2 linked regions of the Canis lupus familiaris genome follow. The protein of the gene in region 1 binds, or shares a complex with, the protein of each later gene. Links are inferred from orthologs where the notes say so. Each region holds a gene or a part of one and is shown on either strand. Other genes may lie near its edges. The genes, in order: RAB11FIP1 and RAB14.

Region 1 (11,689 bases):
TTAGTTTTTTGTTTTTAGATTTATTTGAAAGTCTGAGAGAGAATGTGCACGTGTGGTGGAGGAGGTGCAGGGGAAAAGAATCTGCAGCAGACTCCCCACTGATCGTGGAGCCCATCACCAGGCTTGATCCCCCAATCCATGAGATCAGGACTTGAGCAGAAACCAGGAATTGGATGCTTAACCAACTGAGCTACCCAGACACCCCAGTGTGGCTATAGTTTTAACTTCCACATTGCCACACCCCCTGGGGCAATGGAAAGAGAGCCTGGTGTTGGGGGCTTGCTCCCCTGGCTCGTGATCCCTGAGGCAGAAGCCCCCTAGCACCCAGAGCCGACATCTGGAAAGTAGTCTCCTTGGTCAGCCAAGTGGGTGAGAGTCTGAGGCAGCTGGACCTGGGGAAGCCAGAAGGCTGTTTACCAAGGGCTCCAGTGAATGAGTCATGTGTGTGGACGTTTGTCACCACACCCCAGAGTGCAAGGCAAAGGAGAAAGACAAGCAACCATTACCAGCCTCTTTCTTCTCCTCCCTTAGGACAGCACACTAGTCCATTCCGAGTCCCCAGAGGTGATTTTTTTTTAGAGAGAGTGAGAGAGAGAGAGAGAGCACGAACGAGCAGGGGGAGAAGGATAAGCAGACTCACACTGAGTGTGGAGCCTCATGCAGGGCTTGATCTCATGACTCTGAGATCATGACCTGAGCTGAAACCAAGAGTCAGAGGCTTAACTGAATGAGCCACCCACGTGTCCCCTCTGCCCGGGGTGGGGGTGTCTGTTGGTTAGATCTCTTGCAGTTGGGGATGTACTGAGGAGCAGCGGGCAGGAGTGATTGGCAGTGGTAGGGTGGCAAACATCTCTCATTCTGCTTGCCCTTCCTCCCCACTCCCAGCACGGCTCTATACTATGTCTTTTCCTGGGAGACTTCTTGGTTGCTCCTAACAGCAAATCTGCACTGGTCATCTAACTGCACAGCTGGTGTCTGGGAGTCCAGGCACACTCTACTGCTTTGGGAGGAGGCGAGGTGGCTAATCTGTCCAGTCCAACCTGCCAGGCACCTTGCCCACGTGCTCAGGGCCAACAGAAACTCTTCTCCTCTTTCAGTCAGGGCTAGAGGCGGGCCAGTGAGAGGAATGAGAAGTCAACTCACCACACCCTGGCTGTAGGAGGTGTTTATAAACACTCCTGGAATGCAGTGAACCTGCGAGGGGTCAGCTGCCCCAGGACGGCCTGGCCTGTGGGAGAGGGTGGAAGGGATGCCCAGGTGGATTCTGCTGAGGGCAGGTGGGGAACAGGGCACAGTGGAGCACCAGCCCTCTCGTGGTCCTTGTCATTGCACCTGCACACCTCCCATCCTGGACTGTAGGGCTATAAAATTGGAAGACAACAGACTTACTCCCGGGGGGTCAGCAAATGAGTTTTGAGGGACAAAGAGCTCTGGCTGGAGGAAGGGAGAAAACAGCCACCAAGCCATTTAGCATCAAGTACATCCTGTGCTCTAGCTCCTGGCTTCTCTCTACCCTGACGTATTTCCAATTCCTGCCTCTCATGAGCCCCACTCCTCTGAGTTAACCTCTGCAAGTGTCCAGTGTCTGGAAGGATCTTGATTTCCTGTGGGTGGTGGAACAGCCTTTCCCTCCCCCAATCTACAACCTCTGCTTTAACCTTAGAGCCTATATGTGTTTGACAGAAACCCAAACACATGAGGTCACAAGGTATTATAGTTTTTCCTTCCCCCTTGTTCCCTTCCTTTGTCCTCTCATCCTTTCCATGAATGGAAGGGATGCTTTGGGTCATACTCAGCCTATGAGGCTGACCAGCTGGCTTTCAATCCTTGCTATCTTCACTGTGGGGCAGCATGAACAATGTGAGTGTGGGGGAGGACAGGAGATGAGAGCTGAAAAACTTCACTCACAGGGGATCAGTCTTGACCCCAAATCTTGGACTCTGTCCAGCAGGGAGGTAGTGGAGCAGTGCACAGGTAGGAAAACCAGGAGGGGAATAAGTGCCTTATTGACTACAGTTCCAACTTGGAACAGACTCCAAGGATGGATAAGTGGTAGAGTGGGGCCAGAGGCAGATAGTCCCCAGGTGAAAATGAAGGCATCTAGCTCTGACCCCCCACCCCAATGCTGGCTGCTGGGCTACTTTTGCTCACACCTGCCTTACAGCATGAAGCACAGCCTCATCACACCACTGCTCAAAATCCTCTGAGGGCTGGCTCACCCTGGCCTAACGCTGTGGCATAAACCCCTTAGCCTGGTGTTCATGAGCTACGTGATCTAGGCCTACCTACCTTGGCTGTCTTATCCCTACCATCCACCCACAGTGCCCTCCAAAGATATCCCACATTCTGGCCCCCAATGGGGTGCTCCTAACCCCTGAACATGCTGGGAACTCTCCGGCTCCTATATCTGCTTAGACTGTTCTGTTCTCTCTCCCTTGAAATGCTCTTCCCCCACACCACCCCCTCTCTGCCTGTCAAATCTGGTATATGCTTTACTTTAGGGCTCAGCTCAATGTCTTCATAAAAATCCACCTGCTTAGAGAAATCACTCCAACCTCAAAACCCCCAAAGCATTTTGTTAGTGTAGGATTTCCGTTATAGCATTTGTCATGATGTGCCTCAGAACTGGATCTTGTTTTAGGGCTTTGTGCCCTCTGTAGCTCCTAGCACATACTGGGTACCAAGTAAGTTCTCAATATATTTTTATGGTAATGAATGGGGCCATGAGGTTGAATGACATCAACAGATGGTCAAGATACGGAAATGGCAACAAAATAACAGAGCTCTGCTAGGCTTTTCCATCACTTACCTGTCTGGTGCCTCCTTTTTATCACCATTGCATATTTACAATGTATGGAATAGGTCTTTCCCGCATGGTAGCCACCCTCAGTTGCAAACCTGAGGCATAATGCATCTTGTAATGTCCTCCAGGGTAAAAGGAAACACTGTGTGCTCCTGGTTGGCCAGAATAAACTGCACACTCTCTCTTCACTTCCACAGCACTTCCTGAGCACTTGGGGTGCATGTACCCAGGTTTCTGCCGGGGGGCTATGGAAGAGACACCTTAACCAAGTCACCACCTGGTCCCCCTGGAAGCAAAACCATGGGGGGAAATGTGAGTGAAGTCCTGCAGTCAGCAGGACCTGGGAATGAAGGGAAACTGCCCATCCAAGGGACATCTGGAAGAAGGAAGTGAATGACTGGAAGCCCCCAGGGATAAAGGGCAGGGAAGAGACTCTGGGCTACTGGAGCAAGGGTGGCCCTCTGGTCTCCAGATGTCCGGGTTTGGCAACCCTATCTTCAGTTCCTCCTTTATTCCTCTTCCCTAATTTACCCTTTCAGCCTCACCTTATTTGGTGAGAGCAGAGCAAAGTAGGACACTCCCACAGCACCTCATCACCGGCCCCCTTCCCTCTCACCTTCCCCTTTTCAGGCCCTCAAAGGATCCTCCTCCTTCCGCCACCCATCGGCACCCTCCCAGCTCCCGCAGTCCCCCGGAGCAAACCACGGGCTGGCCCAGATCAAAAGAGCAGCGACTGTGGGATCGCGCTCACTGTCACCTTCATGGCACCTCCTGATCCAGAACTCACCATGTGCCGGGCTACGTTATCATTTTTAAAGCAGTTGCACGAGGTGATGGTTATCTCACTTTATGGGTGAGGACACTGAGACCAAAAGATGAGAAGCAATGCATGCCGAGTCACACGCCCGCCCGTTGGCGGGGCCAGCCTGGAAGTGAGGTCGGGCTCGTGCGACCTGGTCCCGTACCAGCACCTCTCGCTCCAGCATCCCCCGAGCCCCCGCTCCCGGCCCCCGCCCGGGACTCTCGGGCCTGAGCCGCAGAGGCCGGGTGGGGAGCGGCAGGTGAGGCGGGGCGGCGGGGGCGGGGCGGGGCGGGGCGGCCCGGGCCCGGAGGGCGGGGCGGGGCGGGGCGGGGCGGGGGCGGGGCCGGAAGCCTTAAAGGGGCCGCGGCGGCGGGGCGGGCCGCAGAGCCGGCCGGGCGCCGCCACCTTCCCGGCCTCTCCGATCCCCAGCGGCGCCGTCACCATGTCTCTGGCGGCCTCGGCGGGCCGGGGCCCGGGGGCCGTGTGGTCCCCGACGCACGTGCAGGTGACGGTGCTGCAGGCGCGGGGCCTGCGGGCCAAGGGCCCCGGGGGCACGAGCGACGCGTACGCGGTGATCCAGGTGGGCAAGGAGAAGTACGCCACCTCGGTGTCGGAGCGCAGCCTGGGCGCGCCGGTGTGGCGAGAGGAGGCCACCTTCGAGCTGCCGCCGCTGCTGTCCGCCGGGGCCGCGCCCGCCGCCGCCGCCACCTTGCAGCTCACCGTGCTGCACCGCGCGCTGCTCGGCCTCGACAAGTTCCTGGGCCGGGCCGAGGTGGATCTGCGGGAGCTGCACCGGGACCAGGGCCGCAGGAAGACCCAGTGAGCGCGCGCCGGGGGCGGGGGGCGGGGGGCCGTGCGGCTGGGCGCCGAGAGCCTTCTAGAGCGGGCGTGGCGGTCACCGTGCCGCCGTGTCCCGGGGGCACGGGCCGAGAGAGGCCTTGGGACAGGGCTCTCCCGGGCGACGGCGGCCTTCTCACTTAGCTTCAGCTTCTCCAGGCCGTCCCGCGCCGCCCTGCCCGGGTGCGCGCTCCCTTGAGGCCCGCGTGAGGGGCGGGGGTGGGGAGCACCAGCACCTGGGGTGTCTGCATCTGCGCGACGTCGCTCAGCGCCCGGAACTTAGTAAGCACTTAATGAATTTCTGATGAATGGAAGATACTTGTGGGCTGACGAATTCTTCTTACTAGTGTGGGTGGTGTGGTTGTCGGATACGGATCTCCTGGGCATTTCCTGGGTATTTCACTGTCCTGGACCTGGAGCTGCGAACGTGTGGGCCCGGGCTCAGGGAAGAAGATCCGGTGGAGGGTGAACCCGCAGACACTCTGGCCCTAGAGGCTCACTCACGGACGTTGCGGGGTGGAGGCTGAGGACTAGGGAGTGCCGGCCGCCCAGAGATGGCTAGTGAAGAGAATTTGCTTCTTTCTCTTCCCCTTTTCTCCTCCCACCCCCATCCCCGCCCCCCAAAGGATGCTAGAACGGTTTGGTCCTAACTTCCAGTCTGAAAACTATTAGGCATGTTTGCCTTGAGCCCCAAGTCAGTAAGGACTTCCCAGTGCTGGTTGGAGTCGGGGTCAGTCCTTGGCTGAGCAAAACTGGGAGGCATCTGAGCCATGCCATGTAGGCATTGTTTGTTTTTGGGAGTTTGTCAGGTTCTCTCTGGTCGTGCTCTGAATGGATGGCTGCTCACATGTAGCTTCTCAGTCTAGAGTTGTGTGCTAGGGTATCTCACTCCCACAGGGAAAGCTGGGCCTCACCCAGTTCACTTCAAGGTGTTACTCATTTATTTGTTCTCTTGTGCAGGTGTTTGCCATGGAACGTTTGATTATGTAACATTTGATTATGCTCGAGTACTGTACCAAAAGCTGGCCTCCTTAGCTTAATTGGTTACTTTGCTGGACCTTAAACATGCAAGTCAGTCATATTACCACATCTCCTACTGTTTGCGAAGCACATGGATTCACATTGGGTGCTTTAGATATAAATGGGGTTTTAACCTTCCTTTGTGAAGCGGATGGGAAAAGCCAGAGGGTTGGAAGTTACCAGACTCCCTTGTCTGCATCGTGGGTCCAATTTCAGCTTGCATGCTTGCAAATGCAATACCTGATTCACTTATCTGGCCAAAGATGAATAGGCATTTCTGAATTCAAATCAGATAAAATAGAGCGCCTTGAGGTGAGGATGGATAGGGTATCTCTTGGCATTAACTTACAAGCCATAAGGTGAGCAGAGTCTTTGCTAAGGAGGCGCTGAAACAATGCTAATTTTCCATTTGATTAAATAACATTTGGGGCCTTGGCTTGGCTTCCTTTCCAAGTTCAACTGGGTGCCATTTGGCCATCCTTTGTCTTGTTCCATCCCAAGATGCACGGATATTATCATCTGTTTCTGCTGTTTCTCATGTGAACATTTTATTCCCTTGAAAGATAGATCTCCTGTACCAGCCAGAGATGAGGATTCCAGATTCCTGGTTCTGGTGCCCACTCTGGTCCTGACTCATTGTTAGGCTTCGGGCTGCTCGGTCTCTAAACACCCAAATTTCCCTATTTATGCATGGAGCTTGTTGCCAGGCTTAATTGATATTTATAAGATGTTTCTGGTTCCTGGATTACTGGGGCCTGTGTACAGCTCAAAAGGTTCTTTTACTGCTTTGTGAGAAATGACAGCCTCCTTAAGATCTCTATTTCAGGAAGGGTTCCAGCATCTTCATTTGTCTTCCTCTCCAATGTAATCCTAAACCTACATTGTTACTCCCGTCTCTATTGTATGAGCTGATTACTACTTAGTCACAGTATCAACCTGTAGGAAAGTGATGCTTAGTTGGTATGTGTGTTTCCATAACTGCAAAGGAAGTCTCCTTTGGCCCCCTTAGCAGCCCGTGGAATTGCAAGCTTTCCATCTGCTGCTTCCTGGGACTTTCCAAGGTGCCAGGGAACCTAGTTAAACCAAGCCTCTCTGCTGCCCTGGTACATCACTTGGGTGCTCAAGATAGCTGAGATTTGGAGAGTGAGATATATACTGAGAGGCAGAAGTTTACCAGAAAGAAACTAGTTAGGCTAGGAAAGTCATTTGAACTAGTTATTAATGGTTTGACTCCATGTTAGATATTAAACACCAGCAACAAACAAAAGCTTGAATTTTGGTCTCTAGGTTTATTTGTGTGTACGCATGCATGTGTGTTAATCTTGAGCAAAGAAGAGTCTAGAAACTCAAGACGTTAACAGCTAACTGTGCTAGAATTTCCCTTTGTTCTCTTGATAAGCCCTCATCTATCATACATTTGAAGGCAAGAGAACTATGCTTTTCGTGACTCAAATTTTGCAGACCTCAAATTTAGTGTGATGACACATCTTTAAAACACCAAACGGGATCCCTGGGTGGCTCAGTGGTTTAGCACCTGCCTTCAGCCTAGGGCATGATTCTGGAGTCCCGGAATCAAGTTCCGCGTTGGGCTCCCTGCATGGAGCCTGCTTCTCTCTCTGCCTGTGTCTCTGTCTCTCTGTTTCTCATGAATAAATAAATTAAAAATCTTAAAAAAACAAAACAAAACACCAAATAGAGGCTGACATATAGGTAGGATACTTTTAATAGAGAAGAGTACGGGGATCCCTGAATGGCTCGGTGGTTTAGTGCCTGCCTTCGGCCCAGGGCATGATCCTGGAGTCCCGGAATCGAGTCCCACGTCGGACTCCCTACATGGAGTCTGCTTCTCCCTCTGCCTGTGCCTCTGCCTCTCTCTCTCTCTCTCTCTCTCTCTGTGTCTCTCATGAATAAATAAATAAAATCTTTTAAAAAAATAGAGAAGAGTACATGACCCTTATCATTAAGAGGAAATGGAAATGCATTAATTTTGCACATATTCTTGCTTCTTAAAGATCTGAGGTCATAGTTGGGTCTTGGTTAAATGAGAACCAGTTAAAGTCTTATAATCATAAGGTGACCAACCATGTAGGATTCTCTGCTCAGCTCTCTAGTCTCATGTAGTTTGGGATCCTAGACATAAGGGGAAAAAAACTTTCTGGGATATGAAGAGCAACAAAATATAGGGAAATAATCTGTTCAGGACTGATTAAAATAAACATCCATTCAGTCTGATGACCCTAAGGCCACTGTGTAACTAACATCATGAAACTTAATGCTGTAATAGTCTTCCAGCCATGATGAGAGAGTGAGTGATGGAGAGTCATTTTCTTACATCTCTTAAAGATGCAAGAGGGAATTTGGTTGCATATAAAAGGATCTGGTTATTAATAAAGTTAGAGATTTTGAAGAATTGTGTTAGTAAGATGCTGTAGTTAAATTGTAAAAGGAAATCTGGGTTATTAAAAAGAAATAAAAAAAAAAAAGAAATAAGGACTCAATAGTTGTTTTTCTGGAAGAGTCGGATGCAGAGAAACGATTTAGATGAGCCGAGAGATAAATAAGCAGTCAGTTTTGGTGCTTCTACTGTCAAGTTTCTGAAGTGCATTTAGGTTTTTTTGTTGTTGTTGTTTTTGTTTTTTGTTTTTTTTTGTAACAAATTGGAAAATTGGCACAATGTTACCGCTTAGGTTTTCCCTTTCTTGGGATTCTCCTTAAAATTAAATTGGGCCTCACTGGGGAGAAATCCTCCTGCCTCTCCCGGGGCCCCTCCCACTCCTGTGTAGGAAAATGATAGCTTAGGCTGGGAGCCTGAGTTCTCGGTCAGCTCTGGGAGAAGTAACCCTAACCTGTGTATAGCCACGGGATGCAGTGACTTCGAAGAAGGAGGGTGCTTTAGAGTCACTGTTCTGGTGATGTGAAAGATGTTCCCTCATGGTCTTATTTGATTATGATTTCATCTGTAGGACATTCAGTTAGCTTGGGGAAAGTTTCAACTGCCTTTTCTTTTGTCTTTAAAAGTATATATATAGTACGTTTTAAAAATTGAAGTATAGTTGACACGCAATATCGCATTGGTTTCAGGTGTACAACATAGTGATATGACGGTGCTGTACGTCATGTTGTGCTCACCATCAGTGTAACTGCCATCTGTCACCGTACAATGCTATTACAGTACCACTGACTGTTCCCTATGCTGTGCCTTTCATCCCCGCGTCTTACTCATTCCATAACTAGAAGCCTGAGCCTCCCACTCCCTTTTGCCCATTTTGCCCATCCCTCCACTTCCTTCTCCCTGACAACCGTCCTCTTTGTTCTCTGTCTTGATGAATCCATTTCTGCTATTTGTTTTGGTCTTTAGGTTCCACATATAAGTGAAATTGTATGGTATTTGTCTTGCTCTGTCTTACTAGACTTAGCCTCTACTAGGCCCATCCCATGCTGTTGCAAATGGTAAGCTCTCCTTCTTATATTTTTAGTAAATATTTTTTAATACCTACTATGTGCCCAGCACTAAGGTGTAAACAATAGTGACCAAAACAGACTTGATCCTTGCTTTCAGGAAGCTCAGAGCCCTGTAGGGAAGATAGACCTTAAATGGATGAACCCATAAATAAATAATCATATATTGTGATAAGTAGAGGAAGAGAACAGGTGTCATAGAGGATAGATCTGGAAGGATATGACTTGAAGAAGGAGATGGCACATAACTTCTTGGAGGCAGGAACCTGAAGCACGAACAGATTTTTCTGGTGAAAAGTAGAGGAAGGGAACTTGAGGTAGAGGGAGAAGCCTGTGCAAAGACCCTGAGGTGGGAATACCTGGGAAGCTGCAGAGACTGTGTAGATTGTGGCTGAAGAGGAAGGCAGGGCTTCATTTAAGAGCAATGGGAAGTCACTGAGTATTAAAAGCAGAGGGGTGTTGTGATCTGGAATAGTCAAAAATCACTGTGGCTGTTGGGTAGAGAATGGATTTGAAGCAGCCCTAGCCTGGAATCCGACAAAATGAGAGGCCGTTGCACTAATCTAGGCTACTGATGGTGGCGGCTTGCACTAGGGTGATGGCCATGTGGTAGACAGAGGTGGTAGGTTTCAGAATTATTTTGGAGGTTCAGTTGGCCTGGTTTGTTGATGGATTGGTGGGTGGGGGTGAGAGAGAGGAAGTGATGAAAATGAACTAATAAAATAAGGAGAGCTTGCTGTTGAAAATGAACCAGGAAGTGGTGGCACTTTTCTTTCCCCTAGCAGCCACTGTGATACGAGAGTGAGGTCACCATTACAAAGACAGCTTTGGGCAGTGACACCTGTGAGTCAAATCTTCTATTGGAATGAATTAGTAGGAAACGTTACTGAAATCAGGGTGTGTGTGTGTGTGTGTGTGTGTGTCTCCCCAAGTATTTACAGTTTTAATACAGGCCAAGTCTTTGTTTTGTAATCGTTTATGTAGCTGATGAAATCTAAATGGTGGCTCTAACACAGCTGATGGAGTCACTGCTTCAAGGAGTACAGGACTTAAAAAAGGAAGAAAAATCATATATAACATTAGGAAAAATAAACCCATAAGTGAAATATAAAACTCTGGAGGCAAGTAAGTCAACCCTTTACGTGTTTTTCACATTAGGGAAGGTAAGTGTACAAAGGAGTCTTGTGCCTTTTTCATTTTGCTTAAACTTCCTTTTGGTTACAAAGACCTCTATTGTGTTTCTGTAACTACCTAACTACCGTCAGAGGGAAGTTTTTGTAAATCGTATCTGATGTGTCATTTTAATTGTAGTGATTAACTAAAAAATGTTATAATTATGTTAAAAGCAATACACGTGCTATTAAAATGTCCGCTCCAGAATCGATTTGCTAAACTTATTCTTTTCCCCCTTAACAGTAATCTTAGATATCCATTAAAATACTATTATTTTAGTTGCCATACATCCTAGAAAACCATGCTCTGTGCTCTACACTCACTCACTGTGGCTTAGTTCCAGAAGGATTAAGAAGCCCTAGCCTAACGGAGAAAGTGATAAGAGGCCTTATCTTCATCCCTGAGCCATCCCTTGGGTGGTCTTTGATTCTGAGTCTTGTGCAGATCTCTAAGCCTCGGGGGGCCTTTGAATTCCAACAAAATCAACACCCCAGCCAACCCTGTATTGGTCTTTTGAAGAAAATCAGTTCACCGCCAAGATCATTTGTTTGAGAACCACTCCTCTTAAGGTGTCCTGAGTCAGATCTGGTGCCCCAGCTGGCTCAGGGGACCAGGCCTAGCTTCGCCTGCCTCTCCCTTGGCCAGGGACCACTTTGGTCTTGTTTTTTGCTATGTGACCTGATGCAGCACCTCATAACATGTGTGAGTGAACGAATGGCTGAGGTCCCCGTGGGCACAGGACAGGCAGTTGTTTGCCAGTGTGGATGCGGAAAAGCATTTAATCTTACATTCAGCCTGGTAGATTAAAGACGAGGGGGTCTGGGGTATGAAGTCAGAGCTCTGCTTCTTTCAGATTTCTCAGTTTGGGCCGTGGCATGTTTTCCAGTGCCTTAACACCGAAGAAGCAGGTTACCTTCTGCTAGGGATGCCTTTGGCAAAAGAGCTGCTCTCAGCTCCTAATGAGATGAGAAATTCCTTTCCTGCAGGGAGAAGTCTGTAGATAATCTGTTAGAAAAAAAGCAAGGATTTTAGTCTCCAGGGTGTCCCCGAGGGACACATTGAGGAATGTGCCTGTGGAGAGAAAAAAGGCAGTGGTAATTAAGTGTCCTTTCCTGAATGCTGGCCTTTGAATGCAGGAGAGGGGAGGCATTTATAAGAAATCCCAGAAAAATGTTTCTAGGGGCGCGGCTGCTGCACACTTCACTTTTAAAATACTCTTTTATGAGAAAGGACATGGCTAAACTAGGTGGAACAATTAAGGCTTCCAAAAAGCCTGGTCTGAAAAGGCCCCTTGTAATCTTGAAGAATGGGTGTCCTGTGCGGAGGGCCCCAGGGCGACTGGGTCCTGGGATGTGACTTTGGGGGTGTTGCTTCCTCCAGCACAGGTCTGGTGGGGTTTTCCTTGTACCTAATGGCACTTCTCATTTTTGCTAATCATCAGTTGTTAAATCAGGATTTTAAAATGTGGGGTTTTTTTCCCCTCTCCTTCTTGGGACTTATCTTGATTGCGAGATAAAAATCATAGATACTTTACTTCCTTGCCGGGAACTCTCCTTGAAAGAGTGCAAATCTGTCTGGGGGTGGTGGGGAGAGGG
Region 2 (11,780 bases), on another chromosome or scaffold:
AATGGAGCTGAAGTCACGGTGCCCCTCAAAACCAGTCTTTCATTGCGAAGGTGTTCGACTCCCTGCCTCCCTCGCTCGCTCAGCAGGTGCACAATGAAGTCTCGCCCCCGTGGAAGACAACCCTCCACGGTTGTGCTTCCGCACAGCCTGTGACTACAGGCACTGACCGTCGTTTGCCCCACACTATTTTTTCGACTTTTCAACTATGTTTGTTTAGCAAACAGCCCTCGATGATACAGTTTCCCTCCAGAGCAAAGGACAGAAATGCTCACTCTCCGCCATGAAGGATCTGGTTTCCCTAAGCGCGGAGTTCCTTTACTGTGACACACTGTGTGTCCACACAGCCAAGGACGGATGCAAAAGTGCTGATGTTCAGGCTGCACGCAGTGTTGTGGGCAATACGGTCCTTTGTCTCTGACCCAGGGGTTTCACGTCTTCTGCTTCCATCCAGGAAACTGCGTTAGGCCCCAAAGCAAAAACAAAAACTAAAAAAACAACAACAAAAGGAAACCGTGTTAGGCCACATTTTTAGCTTGCAACTGGGGTAAAATCCCAGTTCTTGACAGCACCTGCCAAATTCGAGCCATGGTGACAGTCACCACCAGTCTGATACACTTGTGTCACATCGCACGTGCTTTTAACTTACATTATTTCAACAAAATGTAAAGGTCAGCGAAGAAATAAAGAAAATTTAAAATACCAGTCTGTCTCTGATTAAAGAGGTAAATCTGGGGGATCCCTGGGTGGCTCAGCGGTTTAGCGCCTGCCTTTGGCCCAGGGCGCGATCCTGGAGACCCGGGATCGAATCCCACGTCAGGCTTCTGGTGCATGGAGCCTGCTTCTCCCTCCTCCTGTGTCTCTGCCTCTTTCTCTCTCTCTATGTCTATCATGAATAAATAAATAAATCTTTAAAAAAAAAAAAAGAGGTAAATCTGTTATTTTTTAGTAGAGCTCACAGCATGGTCACTTAGCCACAGAGTGTGAGTCTGAAGTTCAAAGATGCAGGTTTTCTCCGGTAACCCGGCTCCCACTCTAAACCACCCGCCTCTTCAGGTGGTCAGCCAGAGCCACGGCTATCAGATCTGACGCTAGAGGAAAACTAAGAGAGGGTAAGTCAGTCTCTAGTGCGGAGCTTTCCTGGGAAATTTCAAGCATACTTTTCACCTTATGTAAGTTCGTTGTTGTTGACTCTAGAAGTCACGCCCTAATAAAGCTGTGACGTCCGAGGATTATATTTTGGGGCGACTGGTATAAGGTGGATGGGTATGTTGGAAGGGGAGCTATTTTAATGGTCACAACATTTCTTTTACCATTGAGTAGAACACATACTTATCCTTACATTTATGCATCATTTTCTTTTTTTGTATTATGAATTTGCATCTACTCCTTTCTCCTACCCAGAAACTAACGAGTCTTATGTACTTGATTTTTACTTCTCTGTCAACCTGCTAAATTTTGAAGTTTATCAATTGTTATTGATCGATGTAGTAGTATTTTTTTATTATTCGCTTGTTTTTACTTAACTGAATTATGTATCACTAGAGAGCAACCAACTACACTTAAAAATACATTAAATTCTGGGTCTCAGTGGTTGACCGTCTGTCTCTAGCTCAGGGGTGACCCTGGATCCTGGGATCAAGTCCCACATTGGGCTCCCTACCGGGAGCCTGCTTCTCCCTCTGCCAGTGTCTCTGCCTCTTTCTGTGTGTCTCTCATGAATAAATAAATTTTAAAAATCTTAAAAAAATACATTAGGTTCTCTAATTAGGTAGCACACATACACAGTAATAAAATTCAGAGTATAAATTGTGTTGGTTTTGCTGTATCTTCAATATTACCCAGGAGTTGGAATACCAATATTTTAATATCTGGCTATGGTTTATAGTGGCAGCTCCAAAACCACTAGACAAAAAAGGGTAAGTGTGTGTGGGGGGGGAACCTATTATCCGAGATATAACTATGAACAAAACCCCTAAAATAAATGAGCAAAATTAACCAATAAAATTAAGCCTTTAAGACCAACAAGGAGATGAACTAATTTGGTTTAAATAAACACAATAGACAGATCTGAAAATAACTTCAGATTTTTAGCCTTTGGAAAAAAAGAATAGGAAAACATCTATTTTTACAAAAGAAATTATGAAAATATAAATAGGTTGAGATGCAACAAGAACGAGTAGACACGACAAAGCACCAGTGCCCGGAGTGCCCCACTCATCTCCCCAGGAACGGCTGAGCCCTCATACGTTTCTCTTCCAGCTGACTGCTAGCCCGTGTCATCTATGCCTCACCCCGGGAGGACGACCTCGTTGCTGCCCTCCAATCTGGGACTGAGGAGTCCAGGTGTGAGCGGGTTGGTGGGGCAGGTTCCATCCTTCCCCATCCGAAGCCCCTGCAATGTGGTCTCGCTCTCGTGTTTTCCTTTGCCAAGGGTACAATGGGGCAGAGCATATTGGTAAGTCCAATGGCCAAATGGGTACCTGGGGGGCTGCCAGCCTCCGCTTCCTATAGGCACGCCCAAGCTCCACTGGTGATCCCGTGGAGCCCCCGTCCCTCGCCCCTAGGAAGGGATACCACCCCCCACGGAGGGAGAGGGAGGGATGAGCCTCTTTCCAGAGCATTGTTCTTTCCTAAAACCTGACTTCCCTCTCAACTCTCCATTTTTCCCACTGATGAGGGGTGATGGTTTGTCTGTGGGGAGAGAGGATGGGAATGGAGAAGAGGTGGGGAGTAGCAGGGTGGAGGTAGGGGTTGGCAGGAGGGCTGGTTTCCCGAACAATGGCTCCTCAAATGTCCTCCTGGGAGAGAGCTAGTTCCAACCACCGGCAGTGGGCTCCTTATGGACGTTTCGGTTTTCAGAGCTGGGCTTCAGCAGCAGTTTCAGGACAACAGGAAAAACCCCTCTCGATGTGCATTTACACACATATACATATTCGTGCCCCTTTCATAGTTGAACAAGTCTTGGCAGACTGTTTGCTTTTCTCCCTCGTTTTTTTTTTTCATTTGAAGTATTTCTTAGAGGCTGTTCCATATCAGGACACACATGTGTGCTTCAGTCTTTAATTGCTGCACACTCTCCACGGTGTGGGTAGGTTAAAATGTATTACAACAGCTCTTTGGTGAGAGTTGGTCTCTAGTCTTTTACAAGCAGCGCTGCACTCGCTATTTCGTCTATACGTCTCTTTTCACATAAGCAGAAGCCTTAAAAAAAAATTAACTAGGGGATCCCTGGGTGGCTCAGCGGTTTAGCGTCGCCTACAGCCCAGGGCGTGACCCCGGGGTCCCGGGATCGAGTCCCGCGTCGGGCTCCCTGCATGGGGTCTGCTTCTCCCTCTGCCTGTGCCTCTGCCTCTCTCTGTGTCTCTCATGAATAAATAAATAAAATTGTAAAAAAAATTAACTAGAAACCCTGATAGGCATCCAATGGACAGTTCTAATTATGTTGCAATTGGTCACACACAATCTCTCCTCTGAAAATTCTGTGACTTATTACAAGCATCGACCATTTCTACAGTCCTCAACACTTGCTGAGCGTGGACTAGGCACGCTGCATTCACGGCAACGCTTGTCGATGCTGCATCCGGTGCAGTGTCTTCACATAGACTGAAGCGACAATCAGGGATTGGCGCTTAAGCTGCTACAAGAGGAAATAAGGGATAAAGAATACAACGGTGCTTCGGGGATGGGGGCTCCGGAGTCACATGTGCCTGAATTCCCAGCACTGCCAAGTTTTATGTATTTTACAAAGTCTTTGACTTACGTGACACCCAGTTTTCTCATTCATAAAATGACTGTGCGGGGATGTTGCAGAGATTAAATAAGAAAATATACATGATTCTTAGGTCAGTTCCTCTTTCACACTGAGTGTGCAAGAAGCATTAGCTAGTCACGAAGGTCTTCAACCCAAGGGGACAAGTGGATATAGTGAAACGTTCTGGCCAGACCTAAGCTCACAGCTGGACAAGTGATGCCAAATGGTTCACAGCTTCCTTCTTTCCTTTGCAAATTTCTTGATTTCAGAGATGTTGAATCATGAGCACAAAGTATGCTTATTGGAATTAAAGAATACAGGAAGGGCAGCTCTGGTGGCCCAGCGGTTCAGTGCCGCCTTCAGCCCAGGGCGTGATCCTGGAGACCCGGGATGGAGTCCCACGTCGGGCTCCCTGCATGGAGCCTGCTTCTCCCTCTGCCTGTGCCTCTGCCTGTGTCTCTCTCTGTGTCTCTCATGAATGAATGAATGAATAAATAAATAAATAAATAAATAAATAAATAAATAAATAAAATCTTAAAAAAATAAAAATAAAGAATACAGGAATAGAAGCATAGACCTCCAGGGCCAGAAGGGATTTCAACATAACCTTATATCGGATTATCACCTAATAGCCATTCCCACGTATTAAAAACGCGTATGTCAAGCGCTTTGTGTATATCACCTCATTTAACGCTCACAAGGACCCACGGGTGATAGGTATCATCATCCTCATTTTGCAGAAAAGACTGCGGATCTGGGAAATCAAGGGACGTGCCCAGCCGTGGGTCATCAGTAAGTGGAAGATCAGGGATTCGCAGCCGGGTCTTTCTGAAAATGAGACATGTGTGAACTGCCATACGGTTTTCCAAGGAAGTGTCCCGTCGCCGAGGCAAAGCCAGCTTCTGAAAGCTCCTCCTGCCGAGAGCCTGAGCTTCCTTTGGGTAAACTGAGGCAGGGCCGTCACCTGAGCCACCGGAAGCACCGAGCCTGGGGCCCACGATGCTTTCGTGGGGACCCGCAGAAATGTCTTCAGTGCTTTGAAAGTCAGGAAGGAAAGATGAATTTCCAGGTTAAAGAAAGTGTCGTGCGGTGTGACATTAAAACATCCCTCTCCACGCCAACGTAGCTGTAAAACGCTAACAATAGGAACACAGAAGTACAGGAACAGGCGATCCCCGTAACCGTCTCCGCAGGCACAGGCGGGCGTTGGGGTCCCCCGAGGGCCGCCCGCCGCCGGCTGCGCAGGGCCTTCCGGGAGGGTGGCAGGCCGGAGGCGCCGGGGTGCTGGGGTGCTCGGGCCCCGCGTCCCAGGGCCCCTCGGAGGGCAGAGGCGACCCACAACGGGAAGCGCCACGTTCCGGCTGCTGGATCCCGGGCCCCCGGCTCGATCGACGCGAGCCTCAGTTTCGCCATCGGTACAATGGGGCCAAGAGCCTCCTGCGGCTGCGGGACGGGGACGCGTGCCCTCGGGCCCCGCTGCGGGCGGGCGCAGCAGACTGTGCCCGGCGTGGGGCGCGCGGCGCGGGCGTGTCCGGCAGGCGGGGGCGGGGGGGCGGGGGCCGGGGCCGGGGCCGGGGCGCCGGGAGCCGCAGGGTCCACCGAGCGCCGAGCCCGGCCCGCCCCGCCCCGGCCCGGCCCGCCCCCAGCAGGTGCCGCGCGCGCCTGCGCAGGAGCGCCCCTGGGAAGCGGGCGCCGGCCGCTGCGCCTGCGCACAAGCGCCGCCCTCCGCCCCTCCAGGCGCCGCCGCCCGCGGGGCGGGTCTCGGCGGCCGCGCGGCGAGTCCCGAGGGCCGCGGCGGGGAAGGGGCGTGGCCAGCAGGCCGGGCCGGCCGCCGTCTTCCGGGCCCCGCCGGCTGCGCGCGCAGCCTCCTCCCCCCGCTTCTTTTGTGGTCCGGCCCATTGCGAGGGTGACAGGAAACCCTGTGCAGGGAGCGCCGCCATCTTGGACCTGCCCGAGGAGATCCTGAGGGAGCCGCGGAGCCGTCGCCGCCGCCCCCGCCGCTGCCGCCGGCGCGCCTGCACCTCGTCGGCCAGCCCGCCGCCCCCGGGGCCCCGGCCGCCCGCCCGCCCGCCCGCCCGCCCGCGCCGCCCGCCGCGCCCGCTTCCTCGTCCTGACGCCCCCCGCCCGCCCGGAAAGCTGCCCAGCCACCAGCAACCCCCCAGGTGAGCCGGGCCTTCCGCAGCGTCCGTCGGGCCGCGGCCGCCTGGCGCGGGGGCGGGGGGCGGGGGCGGGGGCGCCGCGGGCGGGCCGGCCGGGGGGCGGGGGCGGCGGGGGCGCGGGCGAGGGCGCGGGCGAGGGCGTGTGCGGCCGGCCGCCGCCGCCCCCGCGAGCCCGGACGTGGAGCCCCGGCCCCGGCGCCGGCCCGCGTGGGCCCGGGCACAAAGGCGGCAGCTGGAGGCCTCGCCGGCGCGGCGGGGCTCGGTGTCCTTGTCGGCGGGGCCGCGGCGGAGGGCCGGGGCGGTGAGGGCCCTGAGGGCCGGGGAGGCTGAGGGCCGCGGCTGCTGAGGGCCGGGGCGGCCCGGACGGCGCCGAGCTTGGGTGGCGTCGGCCCGCCGTGAAGGCGACAAAAAGTTGTGGGTTTTGAGCGTTTCTGGGACTGGAGGGGAGACGGCGGAGCAGGGAGCCCGTCGCCGGTGGCCCTGGCTGCCGACTGCGCCGGCTCCGCTTGGCCCGGTCGGGCCCGGGCTGGGGGCTGCGAGGTCCGCGTCCCCGTCCCCGCCCCCGGCGCCCCCCGCCGCGAGCCCCCGCGCCCTCCGGCCTCGCCGCCTCACCTGCAGGGCGGGTGTAAGGTCAGTCGTTGCTTGCAGAGGAGGGAAGGCGGTCGCGGGAGGCCGCGGGAGGCTCCTCTAAAGCCGAACGGCCCCAGATTCTTGAGGCTCAAGCGACGTCTTTCAAGTCTCTGCTTCTGACGACCCAGCCCGGGCCCGTCCCGCCGCGAGCGTCTTTACGTAACCGCGGTAGGAGAGGGCTCCGCGGGAGCGGCCTCGGCCCAGGCAGGACGCCGGAGCCCGGGACGTCTGGTGCGGCCGAGACACGCCTGCGCGCGGACGGGCTGCGCCTCGGAACTTGAGGGCGTAGCTTCCAGCGTGTGCGGGGGGGTCCCGGGAGTGTCGGGGTCGCCCCCCCCCCCCCCGCCACGTTGCTTTGAGGACCGTTCCCTTCAGACATCACGTTTCATCAGTGAAACTTTGGCCGTTTCTGGCCCTCTTAGTGCTTGTAGTAAAGTAGGTGCGGGCCCCTGGCTGGTTCTTGCCCTTGAAGCACGGCTGCGGCGCCCAAGCACTTTCTTCCTAGGCTGCGGCCATGACGGCAGAACTGCCCTGCTCGTGGCACAGTAGAAACCCGGCTCTTTTTCTTGTATTAGTTGATGCAAAGATGTGACATTGACTGTCCTGCCAAGAGTGAGTTTTTTAAAGTGGAGGTCAGAATGGGTGGGCTCTTCTCCGAGGTTGCGTTACTGCTGAGACCGCGCATTCGGATTCCCCGAGCACAGCACCGGTCTACACTGTGTCCCCGGCACAGCCTGTTAGCGAGTCCGACCGCCGCTAAGTCTCCGGGAGGCGGGCGCGACGCTCCTCTTGGTCGCTCCTGCCTTGTCAAAGCCTCACGCAGACTCTGTGCTTCGCAGATGCTCAACAAGGATTTCCGTGTTGGGATCACAGTGCTTTTGGGCGCTCGGTCCAGTTCTGTGTCTATAACGAGATGTCTTACGTGTAGCAAAACCCCAAACCAAGCTTAGTAATGTTAATAATGAGGATCAGAATGTAAATCACCTGGAATCTTTGTGGGTTGTTTTTGTCCTGTGTTGTCTTGAATAAGTTATGTAAAAATTACATCGTAGCATCGTTCGTCCTAAGAAGTAGAATAAAATAGCCGTTTAATGGTTGTGAGAGGATTAGTCAGACGTAGTGCCTGAGTGAACACAGTAAAAGCCAAGGTATTAAAAAAGAAAAAATGCTGTCAATTTTCGGAGTGTGTTTTTTGAGGCCGATCATATGATTGACTTTCCCCATATTATTATGAATTTCCCCATATTATTGTAAATGTGTAAGTAATGTTGGAACTATTATGAATGGGAGTTGTTTTATTTTTGGAAAATATTTATTCTAGAGAGATTGAAGGCATGTGAGTAGGGCTGGGGCTGGGGCTGGGGCAGAGGGAGAGAAAATCTTCAAGCCGACTCCTGAGATGATGACCTGGGCCAAAGTCCAGAGTTGACCACTTAACTGAATGGGCCACCCAGGCGCTGCTTGTTTTTGTTGATTCTTGTTTGTTTTGTATTAGAATAGTTCTTTATCTACTTTGAATACTTTAGAATATCACCAGTGAATATAGCACATGCTTACACTGTTAATAGAGTTATATAAAGTTAATAATTTCTCCCTATCCTTTTTCTTCTCAGTCCACATACTCATTTTTCACAATTTGGTGTGTATCCTTCCATATTATCTGTATACAGGTTTGAGGGAGAGTGTGTGTATGTGTGTGTGTTTAAAAATGGGATATGCCACTGCATAAAATTCTATCAACTTTTTTTTTTCCACTTAAAAATCATGGATATATTTTTAAGTTTATTATCCATCTCTGAATGGTTTTTAAACTAGAAGCATGTTATTTCATGATACTTTAGTCATTTCCCTGTTGATAGAAGTATAGATTGTTTCCAGTTTTTTTGGTTTTGGGTTTTGTTTTGTTTGCTGTATAAGTACTGCATTAGATGCAGTTGGACCTATAACCTTATGGATTGAAGATCTTGTATCTGTAGGCTACTTCTTGGTCACAGTTGATTGGGATTATCTTTAAGATTTTAAAATATATTGTTTACTTCCCAAAAAAATGTGGCAATTCAGACTCTTGTAAGCAGAGTGTATGAAAGGTCCTTAACCTTCTCGTCTGCATGCACATTTCAAATACAGTCATTTATATATCTGTTTAATTTCACTTGGAGATGTATCTAACTATATGGAGACCATGCGACTTTATTTTGGGGGCAACAATGATTTGTCTTTAATGTGTATTTAGTAACCATGTAGATCTCTGTGTATTGGCCTGGAAATGGATCCATGATTTTGTTAAGTGAAAAACATGCAGTTTGATGCAGTAGCATACCCCATTTTAAAATATATTCCTTACCTTAAGGGTGTTTCTTGTGTTGAAGATTTAATGTTAATCTCAAAAAATCCGTTGTTAAAGGAGTATTAGGCATAGTTAATATTTAAAGGGACTACACCACAATCATCAGTGTTTGGTATGCATGTAGTAATCATTAGTCTTGACAAGAAGTTTAGTGCTAAGTTTTACATGCAGTGATAGTAAGGCCTGACCCTAAATATTTCGTGTAATTATCTTCCATTTTTCTTTGATTTTTTTTTTTTTTTTTTAAGTTTTATTTGTTCATGAGACACACTGAAAGAGGCAGAGACACAGGCAGAGGGACAAGCAGGCTGTCAGTGGGGAGCCCTATATGGGACTCCATCCCAGGACCCCGGGATCGTGCCCTGAGCCGAAGGCAGACGCTCAACTGCTGAGCCACCCAGGCGCCCTGTTTTGGTTTTATCAGTTTACATATGTATGTATATCAGTCCACATACATATATGCTTTTAATAACCCGCCTTAGAGAAAATCATGTTCTTTGGAGTCAGGCCTGGGTTCAGATTCCAGCTCTGCCATTTACTATTTTTGTAACACAGGCCAAATTAATGAATTTCTCTAAACTTCAATTTCTTCAGTTTTTGCATGGACATAATGACTGCAGAGTTGTGAGAATTAAGTAAGAATTATATGAAGGGAAAAGTACTGATGATCATCACACGGTTTACTCTAAACAAATGTTGTTACCTTCAGAAACTTTAAGTGGATATAACTTGAATTAGTGTTATCATTCATATCTACAAATCCTGATTATATCCTCTAAATATAATTTTTTAAGACTGAAGTATTATATTAGTACCAAGTGAGAAAGGTCTGTGTCCCAAAGTACCACCAAAGGGTTTCATGGTGCATCCCTTAACTATGAAGGAGGCCAGATGGTGTAGTGAATAAGAGGGGGTTCTCTGCAGTTAAAAACAGTCTTAGGTTCAGTATAAGCTTGACCACTTAGCTGTGTGACCTGGACATGTTACTTACCTGTTGAGTCTTCATCTGTAAAATGAGGATTATAGTCACTGTTTTATAAGGCCGTAGTAAGGATTAATTGAGATTGCATGTAAAATGTTTAGCACATTGCCCTGGTGTATATTAAGTACTCAATAAATGGTAACTGTAACAATTGTTTACTAGTTTGCAGGTTGTTCATCTGTATTTAATGGTGCTTATTGTCTGCAAGGAGTACTTTTTACATAAGGAAACCAGAAGCATTGAAGGAGATCTTATCTGCATATGAATTTTATTTTCATACTTTTCTAACACATGGAAAACACATTTTAATTTCACCAGTAGCTGTGCACAAGTTATGAAATATTATCAAGGTTTTTTAATTAGTGGAGATTTTAGTGTTGAATGAACTCATGTTTTCAGAGATTTGAACTAGACCGACAGTTTTTACCCCCTTTCTCCCCCCCCCCTTTTTTTTTTTTTTGACTTTTGAGTAAAGCAAAAAGCATTCTTAGATAATAGAAAACTTTTTTCCTCTTTCAAATCTGGGTAAAAAGTACATTCCTCACCTTAACAGTGGTATGTTTCATTCATGTTCAAGAAATGATGTTGAGAAATCCTTTTTTAGGACAATACTAATTAAGCATTGGTTAATATTTAAAAGGGGCAACTCCAATATAGTTTTAATGTAAATACATAATTTTGAGTGAATGTTACCAATAAGCTGTGGGAGTATATTTAAACCTAGCTAGTATCTTAGCTTATAATAAGAGAGGGAGGACCTGTTGTGTTAGTGGCTACAGTGCTAGATATTTTCTGCCTTTCATTGTCTACTGAAATTATTAAACTTGAGTAGCTTTCCCTTTTAACTTTGCCTTTAGGGTTCATTTTTAAGAAACTTGAACCAGAAAGTTGTGTTTTGAGGTGAAGACAGGGTACTAGTATTTACTCCGAAAAAGTGATCATTGTCTTTTATTTGGGAATAGTTTATGCTAATTAATGCTTGGCAGTTTTTTAAAATGTTTTAAAATTAGTCATCTTGTAGATATTTAATAAATGCTTTTGTGGTAATTAGCAAGTACACAAATTAATACAACTAGAATTGGCTTATAATTTTATGATTAACCTTTAGAGCATTTCAAGGAGAAATTAGAATTGTTAGAGGCCTTGGTTTTAACATAATAAAATGGAAGGAAGCAAAAAGTGTGTATGGCTACAGCTTTGGGTAAGAAGAGAGAAAGGAAATGGGAAAATCAGAAGAGGAAGAGCATAAAAGAAACTAATTTTAAGGTGACTAATTCCTTTTCCTCAAGTTTGAATGGGAAAAGAGGAGCTTAAAAAAGAAGTTAAAAATTAATTATAGGGTTCTGGGAAGAATGCAGGTGAAGAACATAATAATCTTTAACATTTTTATTGTGAAAGATTATTTTTTTTCCTTGTGTTTGGGATCTGGTTTGGATATCTGGTGAATAACCCACACCAATTTTAGCCTCAGGACCAAGTTCATTCTTAAAAGTTTTGCATCCCTAGTGTCTGGGAAAAGAGAAAAAAATTATGATGGTGTTCAGAATCAGTTAATCTAACTAGAGAAACTCCCTTCCTGAACAAACTGGTTAAGGGAGTTTTCAGTGATGTTGAAGACTGATTATGAAAGTGCTACATGTCAAGCAGGAATAGGTAGCAGGGCATCCGCTTTTGTTAAATGTAATCCTTATAGTTAAGTGAGAAGATTATATTGTGTGAAGTGATTGTCTAATACTTAACTGTAATTAACAACTTTCTCTTTCCTGTTAACAATAATTCACTTGTTTTAAATAATACTTTTTTATAGGTTAAATTTTATTATATAGTAATTTTGTTAGCCTTAATAAATGAATTTCTGCAATCATATCAAATGTCTGGCTTGTATAGTGTGACAACTGGCCATGATAGAAA

Evidence for each region.
Region 2: the proteins of RAB11FIP1 (region 1) and RAB14 are in contact, whole or in part, in a crystal structure (PDB 4D0G), measured with the Homo sapiens proteins. The link is inferred for Canis lupus familiaris from reciprocal best matches to the Homo sapiens genes RAB11FIP1 and RAB14. Residues at the interface, in NP_001002814.2 of Homo sapiens: Glu1252, Ile1255, Asp1256, Asn1257, Leu1259, Val1260, Met1263, Pro1267, Asn1268, Leu1270, Arg1271, Ile1272; in NP_057406.2 of Homo sapiens: Leu28, His29, Ile44, Gly45, Val46, Glu47, Phe48, Gly49, Trp65, Arg72, Arg74, Ala75, Val76, Ser79, Tyr80.

What each region holds. Positions count from the first base shown.
Region 1 is NC_049237.1:28,236,619-28,248,307, forward strand, and holds the start of RAB11FIP1 (rab11 family-interacting protein 1), read left to right. Parts: upstream 1-4,047; coding exon 4,048-4,424; intron 4,425-11,689. UniProt on the Homo sapiens protein: A Rab11 effector protein involved in the endosomal recycling process. Also involved in controlling membrane trafficking along the phagocytic pathway and in phagocytosis. Interaction with RAB14 may function in the process of neurite formation.
Region 2 is NC_049232.1:74,589,089-74,600,868, reverse strand, and holds the start of RAB14 (ras-related protein Rab-14), read left to right. Parts: upstream 1-5,828; 5' UTR 5,829-5,913; intron 5,914-6,522; exon of another isoform or gene 6,523-6,815; intron 6,816-11,780.